Neurospora crassa OR74A: one gene and its partner. The protein of the gene in region 1 purifies or fractionates together with the protein of each later gene. This does not show direct contact. Links are inferred from orthologs where the notes say so. Each region holds a gene or a part of one and is shown on either strand. Other genes may lie near its edges.

The links.
Region 2: the proteins of NCU01907 (region 1) and NCU08024 purify together in Saccharomyces cerevisiae (affinity purification with western blotting; 3 studies listed by BioGRID, with this or other methods). This does not show direct contact. The link is inferred for Neurospora crassa OR74A from reciprocal best matches to the Saccharomyces cerevisiae genes SED5 and ANP1.

What each region holds. Positions count from the first base shown.
Region 1 is NC_026501.1:2,073,438-2,077,990, forward strand, and holds NCU01907 (syntaxin 5), read left to right. Parts: upstream 1-1,681; 5' UTR 1,682-2,212; coding exon 2,213-2,491; intron 2,492-2,561; coding exon 2,562-3,091; intron 3,092-3,146; coding exon 3,147-3,252; intron 3,253-3,320; coding exon 3,321-3,359; 3' UTR 3,360-3,990; intron 3,991-4,135; 3' UTR 4,136-4,398; downstream 4,399-4,553. UniProt on the Saccharomyces cerevisiae protein: Required for vesicular transport between the endoplasmic reticulum and the Golgi complex. Acts as a target organelle soluble NSF attachment protein receptor (t-SNARE).
Region 2 is NC_026504.1:3,953,078-3,957,600, reverse strand, and holds NCU08024 (mannan polymerase II complex ANP1 subunit), read left to right. Parts: upstream 1-1,438; 5' UTR 1,439-1,769; coding exon 1,770-1,879; intron 1,880-1,964; coding exon 1,965-2,635; intron 2,636-2,698; coding exon 2,699-3,018; intron 3,019-3,074; coding exon 3,075-3,170; intron 3,171-3,225; coding exon 3,226-3,474; 3' UTR 3,475-3,882; downstream 3,883-4,523. UniProt on the Saccharomyces cerevisiae protein: Involved in the organization of the secretory pathway. Required to maintain a functional Golgi apparatus.

The DNA of each region.
Region 1 (4,553 bases):
ATCGGATGTCAGACAATTCTCAAGTAAGGGTAGCCTTCTGCAGCCTGGAGTATCCCGTAATGTATTGCGGGCCAGATTCTGAGTATCCGATAAGCAATTCCGAAGATGTGTATCCGTGGCGTCGAAGGTGTCTACGGCCTGTCCGATGTGAAAGTATGACTGAAGGAACGCGGAGAAAAAGGCAAGGCAAATGGCGAAGATTAGGTTGGTGGTAGTGAATGTCTGGTCGGTTGGCGGGCCGATTAATTAGTTGAAAGTAGCGCAATATACTGGTAACCAGAAGGGAAAATGGATGCGTAAATGTGTGACGGAAGAGTCGCCAAAGAAAGTTCGAGGGCGGGAAACGGTTGGATACGAGGATGGAGGAAGGATTAGAAGGGAGACTGAAATCGCGAAGACGGACATTGGGACGTGAAACTGAAATGTTGGACTTGCGCTGGCAGTTGACCAGATGACACTGCATCCATTCATGCTCCCTGCTCTTTCCTCTCGTTGTTGAAGATTATGGTCCGGGACCGCGGCAGGGATCAGCAGCCCAGGGCAGCATTGGAACGTCAGGCGGACGTGGGGCGAGCTTTAATGAGACAGGCTATTAGACTCTCCACTCTGTAAGGCACTAACTGAATGCCACCGCACTCGGCCGCGGATGCAGTTAGAGAAACCTGTGGCTCTACATTTTCGGAATATGTAAGGTATTCGTAGACCTCTTGGGTAGAGGTAGGTGAGGTGAAGCCGAAGGGAAGCTTCTTTTAGGTTTACGAACTCACTACACAAGGGGAAAGTACTGATAATTTGCATTCAATTCTTTAGTCAAGTATAGGTATCTGGAGAGAGAGGCCTTCACGGCGACGCTTCTACGGGGCATTCAGGCCTCAGCAAACCACATAACTCGCCAGGAAAGGGGGGAAAATCCCATTTGAATGAGAATTAGAAGTGCTGCAAGTTGTTTGGTTTTGTGAAGCCCTAGTTCAAAGGCAGTCACAATGGCTCTAGAAATGATACCCCGGATTTCATCCGTTTTTAGAGTATCTACTTAGAGGTAATTCTTAGCTACCTACTTTGGTTGCGCCTCGATCGATGCTAATGGCGTTCCACCCTTGCTGGCGCTGCAGTGACAGGCCTTGAGTTTCTGGTACCGCTCAGCTCCAAGCGCCCGGCCTGACGTTCATTCATGTACTAGAGGTAGTACCCCAAATCCATGGGCCGCAGTGGGTCAGAAACGCAGTAACCCAGAGGCCAGGGGCATTCAACGAAGCGTCTTCCCATTCTGACAGACGTGACCCCATCATGTAAAAATGACATACCTCTAGTCACATCTCACACCTTTGGCTCGGATAACCAGAAATTCATCTCCCATTCTTGGGCTTTTGGGTCTGAGTGTGGGGGCAACCATACTATTCCAAAGAGTGGCAAAAAAATACAATGTGAAAGAACATTGAGTTGCAGTGCCGAGGTGTTATCGACTTCAAGGTTGATCGGGAAGTTGATTCTTTAAAAAGACTGGGCTGATGTCCAATCAAATGTACTACTAGCGAGTCTAGCTTAACTGAATGCTTAACAACAGTGTCTTGGTCAGTCAGCTTTGGATTTTTGCACTGTGAGCTTTTCTTACTCAACTGCAGGGGCCGAGCCACACACTGCAGCGTCACGGGCCCTCCTGAAACTATGTAAGTAAAGTAACCACGTTTTCCCTTTATCGAACTCCCGTCGCTGATGACAACAACGGAGGAGCTTGTTCAACCTCGACGACCACGACACCAACCATTTGACTCGACGACGGCGACGACCACGACCACGACGACGAACTTATAACACCGCCACTCATTCATACGTCATCGCGAGTCCATCGTGTAGCGCCTTTCATAAATACGACCTTCAATCAACACACCCACGACCAGCCGCCGACCTCCTCGCCAGTCGCGAATTAGCCTCGCTCCCGCCGCATCCCCCGGATCCGCCCATTTCCACTTTGCCAATCCATAATCTCCTCCGCAAACTCGCAGCCTACGAGTCGCATTCGCCCCCGGTCACGATTGACAAAGTTGACGACGTCTCGATTCCTGACTTACGAACTCCGACGTGTTATTGATTACGACTTAACCGCGTGCCGGTTGCTCAGGGGTACACGCGCCCCTCTACGACCCATTCCCCGCGATTAGCTGTTGGAAACGGACGGACTACCGCCTCAGCATATACCGATACACCTCTAATTATGGCTGTCTTTGCCATCAACGACCGAACGGAAGAGTTCCGACAGATTGTTGCGGCTGCCCAGCGTAGGCAGGCCACAAAGCCAGGAAAGCAGCGACTTCTGGACACCGCTCAACAACATGCTGCCAGCAGCGATGCCCAGCCCAGAAGGTCTGAGTTTGCGAGGGGGGCTGCAGAGATTGGAAGGGGTATCTCTGCGACAATGGCCAAGCTGGAAAAGCTAGCACAGCTGGCCAAGAAGAAGACTCTTTTCGATGACAGGCCGGTCGAAATCAACGAGGTAAGCTGGGTCATGCGCTTGATCTTTGCGCGCCTCGACTCCATAACTGGCTGGCTAACCATTATGTTAGTTGACCTTTGTCATCAAGCAAGACCTGTCTTCGTTGAACGAGAAGATCAGGAACCTGCAAGATCTCTCTAGACGTCTGCACCCGAAGCCCGACCAAGAAGGGGAGAACAACAAAAACATTCTCCTGCTCCTACAGGGCAAGCTGGGAGATGTTGGTGCTAATTTCAAGGACGTGCTCGAAATCAGAACCAAGAACATTCAGGCGTCGCGGTCGAGGACCGAGAACTTTGTCTCGTCAGTAGGTCAGCACGCACATGCTTCCTTGCAACAATCTGCGTCACCTCTGTACGGCACGCCTAGTAGGGGAACGCCAGCACCAGGGCAGCAAGATCTGATCTCGCTGAACCCGATGGGAGATCAGCAGATGCAGCTCCAGATGTTGGAGGAAGGCCAAAACACCTACGTCCAACAACGAGGGCAAGCGATCGAGGCCATCGAGTCGACTATCAATGAGCTGGGTTCCATTTTTGGGCAGCTCGCGGCCATGGTCAGCGAACAATCTGAGATGATACAAAGAATTGATGCCAACACGTAGGTTTGTCTCGAGACGCTCGACACACCAGCACTGTACTAACACACCATGCAGAGAGGACGTGGTAGAGAACGTCGAAGGCGCGCAAAAAGAACTGCTCAAATATTGGAGCCGTGTTTCAAGTAATAGATGGCTCTTAGCCAAGATGTTTGGTGTTTTGGTAAGCCCAGTATTCCTGCTCTGTTACCTATGCCCTGCATAAAACTCTAACGCTGTGCGACTTTGTAGATGATTTTCTTCCTTCTCTGGGTATTAATTGCCGGGTAGACGGCAGTTGTGGCGGCGTTTCAGTAATATTATACTTCTTCTTTATAATGCATGCAGAGGCGTCTCTTGTAGACTTTATGCATTAATTATACAATTTCTCTTCCTCATGAAGATGCGGTTCTTTTTTTGCATGCGCTCTTCCATGTCCTTTCACTGTTCCACAACATAACCTCTTGCAAGGCTGATAGAGCTCAGGTATACCTCTGGATGGTCGGTGGGGGCATTTGATTATTTATACCTACTTGCCGAGGAAGTTGGCTTCAGCATAGGGATCAAGACTCAAAGTTCGCTCTCGGTTCATCTAAGGTCAACAAATACTTAACCGACGGAATTCGCTTACGCTAAATGCCACCAATAGAGGAACAGGTTTAGACTAAGCACTCCACGCCCCCAGTTCCTGCAACTGTAATCATTTCAGTTCCACTCAGCTTCGGTACCTGGAACTAATGCTCTCCGCTCGAGCCCCAGAAAGAAACCCAGAGCAAGCGAACACGACGGATCCACTCGGCCACTCACTGTTACCACTATCTATAGTAGAGCGGACCGACACCACAGCAAGGTCTCATTCCGACAGAGGGGCAATCGTTCCGCCGAGGCCCTTGTTAGATTCAGCCAAGTTTCGCGGGGTAAGGTGAGAGGATGCCATCCGTTCCATTGACCGGATGTTTGTTGCTGGGGCTATCTTTGGCGAGGTTGTCGATATCCCACCTTCGAAGTACTGTCTGATATCTTAACGAAACGCCGAATGCCATCGAGTACTGACTAAACACGAAAAGACAGAAGCCCCGAGTGCCGTATTTCTGGACGCCTCAAACCCAAGTTCACGATGTTCGAGTTACACAATGGCGTGTCGATGTTCCGTTGTTACTTCCATCCACGCTGTCCATGAATAATTACAGTCGGAATTTCAGGTCTCATGATTACCTAGTCAGGTACAGACAACATGAAGAAAAAGAATCATTACAAACATGTAGCTTTCTCGGAATCGATAACACCATAACTATCCCCCACGCTCTAACGCCGATTGCCATTTAGCCGAATGTCCAGTGTGGCTCAAACCCTGGACAACCTTCTCCTCGAACGTAACTTGATATAACTGGTCAATCCTCCTCTGTCTTTCCTTTCCACTCTCAATCTTGATATCATAGCTTCTAGTCGACCCCAAAAGCTGGATTCTCCGTGTAAAATCAGCCG
Region 2 (4,523 bases), on another chromosome or scaffold:
TGAGCGATCGAACAAACATGCACTACCATCTGACTACTCCTTCAACACATCCTTCACTTGCAACTCATTTGGAGGAACCGTTGACTGACAATCAATAGTACAGACAAAGTTGTTATTGTCACCGTTGCTGTTCCACTCCGTTTTCTCAGTCTCTACCCACTAGGTAAGCATCACATTGTTTTCCTTTCTGTTTTCTTTCCCCCACCTGACATCATCACCCACCCGATTGTCCATGATGAAACAAAATATTTTCAGTTCTGCTTCTGAATAATAATGAGCGATAACCAATTATACCAAAACCTTCTGATATGGCAATCACCCCAACTCTTTCTTGCAACGACAGCCCTCACCACACATGCTGCGAGCAAGTTGGCTAACAAACTTCAAGTTATATAGGATCTGAAAACGATCTTGCGTCTAGTGGGAGAGTCGACATGCCCATCTGGTAGGTACTTTGCCTTTTTTTTTTTTCCTTTGTCCCATGCACAATGATGACAACAGTCTATCCATTCAACGATATGTACGGGCCGAGCCATCCATCCGCACTGGAGCGTCTTTCGGGGCGTGAGGACTAGTTGTGGTGTCTCCCTTCGGGGTGTCATTTGGCTTCCGTTGTCCGAGTCTCCTGCGCACCGTTTTGGGGCGTGGGAGGCTTGGGCCGGCTTTGTAGGGCTGAGTTAAAACGGCTTGTCTGATCTGTGTCGTCTTCGCCTTCTGCTCGATGCCGATTCGCGTATGACCTTGAACTGACCGGTCAGTAGTTGATGGCGTGAACGTTTCATACGTTTTGTTGCAACGCATCTTTGACGAGGTAAGGTTTGTGTTCATGACTCGACAACTCAATGACCCCAGTAAAATTGGATGTAGTTGAGGATCGACGGTGTGCCTGTCCTTGACATTTACATAGGGCTTCAAGATATCAGCAAGGATAGAACAATGAAAACAAGAGTTGCAAAATAGTTGATTATCTCCAATCAGACCCAAGATATTGCCCTTGATGATGTGCAGGAGAAGTCCAAACCCAGTAGAACGAATGACCGGACACTTGCCGCGACGTAAGCCCGGTTTCCCTTCAAATCATCTGTGTCTCGAGGTTGAACATCAAATAAATTGAAGACACACCCTGATGTACCCATCTGTATTGCACACAGATGATAACTACGGCACAGACTCGACGGTACTTGCATTGCCACTGTTTCAGGTCGACTTTGCCGTCAATTCTGGAGCCTTGTCCTTGGCGACTTTAAATCCTGTACACTGCACTAGAACCCCTGAAACCAAGGCGTCAAGTCTGGGGTCATTTGTGGGTGGGTGCAAAATGCGCTACAATTGGCAGGACCCCGTCGAACGGCCGGGCCACTTTGCGACGCCATTGGTAAAGAAATCCATCCCAACCCGCCAATCTTATCTGGACTGGTACTTAGTACGTGTATCGATCCGTCAAGCTGCCCACAGCCCGGTGCGAACACCTCAGCTTTTTATCAAACGACTCGGTGCTACAGGAACGCGATCGTCTTGATCTTCCGCCCAAACTTCTCTCTGACCGCGATGCATTGATCCTGAACCGGCCTGGTCCCTTCTCTATCATTTCGACACAGTTTCGGCAGCGCGTGCGTCGAGAACATCCAGCGAGAGACCGCCCAGTCTGCAGCATCTGTTAGCATTTCCGGTTCGCAGGACTCAGGTACCCTGCGTGTGCGCAAAGGGGGGTTGAGGTGCTCGATAATATTGGCCGCCCCTGCAGCGACCATCTATCACCAAACAGCCCAATGCTGCCGTACGCATCTTCCTCCGGGTCCAAGGCGGTCCCTCGACACCATGCGAGCGGATATTCCAATGGGTACCCGCGAGGAAACACCTTTGAGATTTCTCCTCACAGGTAAAGTGCCCCCCGCCCCCTGAATCACCAGGCGAACGAAACGAACGTTGGAAGCTGACGGGAGCGGCCTCCTATCATTCCACAGGTTCCAACCTCGAGGCGCGGCACCACCATTTCGAAGACGGAAGGGACTATTCCTGCGATTGGCAATAGCGCTGGTATCATTACTTCTCTTTGGGCTGTTCGTTTGGCCCGGCGATTCGGGGTCTTTCTCCTGGCTTGGCTCCGGTTCTGAAGATTTCCAACTCGAGACGGTGCGATACTACGACCTGTCTAACGTGCAGGGCACCGCGAAAGGATGGGAGAGAGAGGAGCGAATTTTGATCTGCGTGCCGCTGCGCGATGCCGAAGTGCATATGCCCATGTTCTTCGGTCACCTCCTCAACCTGACGTATCCTCACCATCTGATCGATCTCGCTTTCCTTGTTTCGGACTCGAAAGACAACACCTTGGCGGTTCTTGAACGCGAGCTTACGGCTATTCAAGCTAGCACCGACCCGTCCAAGCACTTTGGCGAAATCTCCATCATCGAGAAAGACTTTGGACAAAAAGTTAATCAGGATGTGGAAAGCCGCCACGGTTTCGCCGCGCAGGCGAGCAGAAGAAAGCTCATGGCCCAAGCTAGAAATTGGCTCCTTAGCGCCGCCCTTCGGCCGTATCATTCGTGGGTCTACTGGCGTGATGTCGACGTGGAGACGGCGCCTACCACGATCTTGGAAGATCTGATGCGCCACAACAAGGATGTGATTGTGCCAAGTAAGCCTCCTGAACCCTTAGCTGATATTGAAAGGATAACTGGAAATGCTAACCGGACTTTAGATGTTTGGCGTCCGCTACCTGACTGGCTGGGCGGAGAACAGCCCTACGACCTTAACTCCTGGGCCGAGTCCGAAACCGCCCTCGCACTCGCGGATACTCTCGACGAAGATGCAGTTATCGTGGAGGGATACGCAGAATATGCTACCTGGCGTCCCCATCTCGCATATCTCCGGGACCCCTATGGCGATCCCGACATGGAAATGGAGATCGATGGCGTTGGTGGAGTGAGTATTCTGGCAAAGGCCAAGGTTTTCCGTTACGGCGTCCACTTCCCGGCGTTCAGCTTCGAAAAACATGCCGAGACAGAAGCTTTTGGAAAGGTAAGCTCGTCAGGCCTTCCCGCGTCTTTGGATCCGTCTAACCGCTATGGTAACAGATGTCGAGAAGGATGGGCTTCTCAGTTGTTGGCCTTCCTCATTATACTATCTGGCATTTGTACGAGCCTAGTGTAGACGATATTAAGCACATGGAGGTAAGCAATCACGCATCTGGTTATGCAAGTTTGACAGGTCCCTAACAGTCGGCAGCAAATGGAGCAGGAGAGACTCGCTCGCGAGAAGGAGGAAAAGGAGAAAGCGATGAAGGAGCAGAAGATGAAGGAGTCTTTTGGCGACGCCACTGGCCAATGGGAGAAGGACAAGAACGAAATACAAAACCTCGCCATGCAGGAGAACAAGAAGGCGGAAGAGCAACCAGCAGCAGGACAACAAGGCGGACCGGCTGACGGACCAGCCAATGCTGCTCCCAAGGAGGAGAAGAAGGAGGGCACTCAGTGAGCTGTGCTCGAGTGTCCACTCGGTTTTTTTTTTCTATATTTTCTTCTATCTTTTTAATACTGCCTCTTTCGCTATATTTCTGCATCCTCATCTCTGGTTTAACGTTGTGTTTCGCCAAGTGGACGCATACCAAAGAAAAATGGGTGGGAGGCACTTGTGAAGCCGCCCGCTTATACATCTACCTATTATGTACAATGGGCAGTTGGAGAGGGAGGGTCAGATATCAGGGATATGTAATTGGCGACGGTTCACACCGCATTCACCTCATGTCAGGAACGGACCGGAAAGACAAAATCTTATGGAGGGTAATCTAAGATCATGTATACTAGAAGCGTTTCGCGGCCAACGAGTTCAAAAAAAATCATAGCAGAGGCGTTCCGGGAAATGTCTTTTTTGCTTTGCAGTCTGCTACAGCGACCACAAATGGGTTGAGTGCACAATACTGACGCCTCTCTGGTCGCTTCATCCTGTTGTCTGAGCGTAGCGGCCGGATGTCTCTCGATTGGCTACCCGGTGGTAGTTGCTATTTGGCTTCGGGCCCAGGCCGCGAATGGAGACACGCCGGCTGCCCGGTGCCTTTGACATCAGACTGCGTCTCGGGAGGTACGTCGACCTCCAAATGTGCTCCCCCTAAAATTTGCATAGGTAAGCACATGCATACAAGTTTGTGATTAGCGATATCTGTTCTTGAAGAGAAAAAAACGAAAAACAAAAAAGGACAGGAGCAAGACTCAAAACCCTCCGTGTTGTCACAAGAGCACTGCCGTTGGCGAGGTACATCCCTTCTATACATCAGACTAGTCTAGTGTACACAGAGGTATAATAGGTAGGTAACTTGGCGTAGTATTAGTTGTCAGCCGCGGCGGCCACTGATAGGTAGGTGTACATAGTACTGGATCTCCAAAGGACATTTGTTACTACCTGCGCTAGAGGTACCTTAGTTCTTGGCCACCGTCCACCTGTCACACCAAGGTAGCCCCCCCTTCCCACTCTGGCTGTTAACTTGACCACGACATTCTAAATAGTCTACAACTCCGAACATTTGCAAA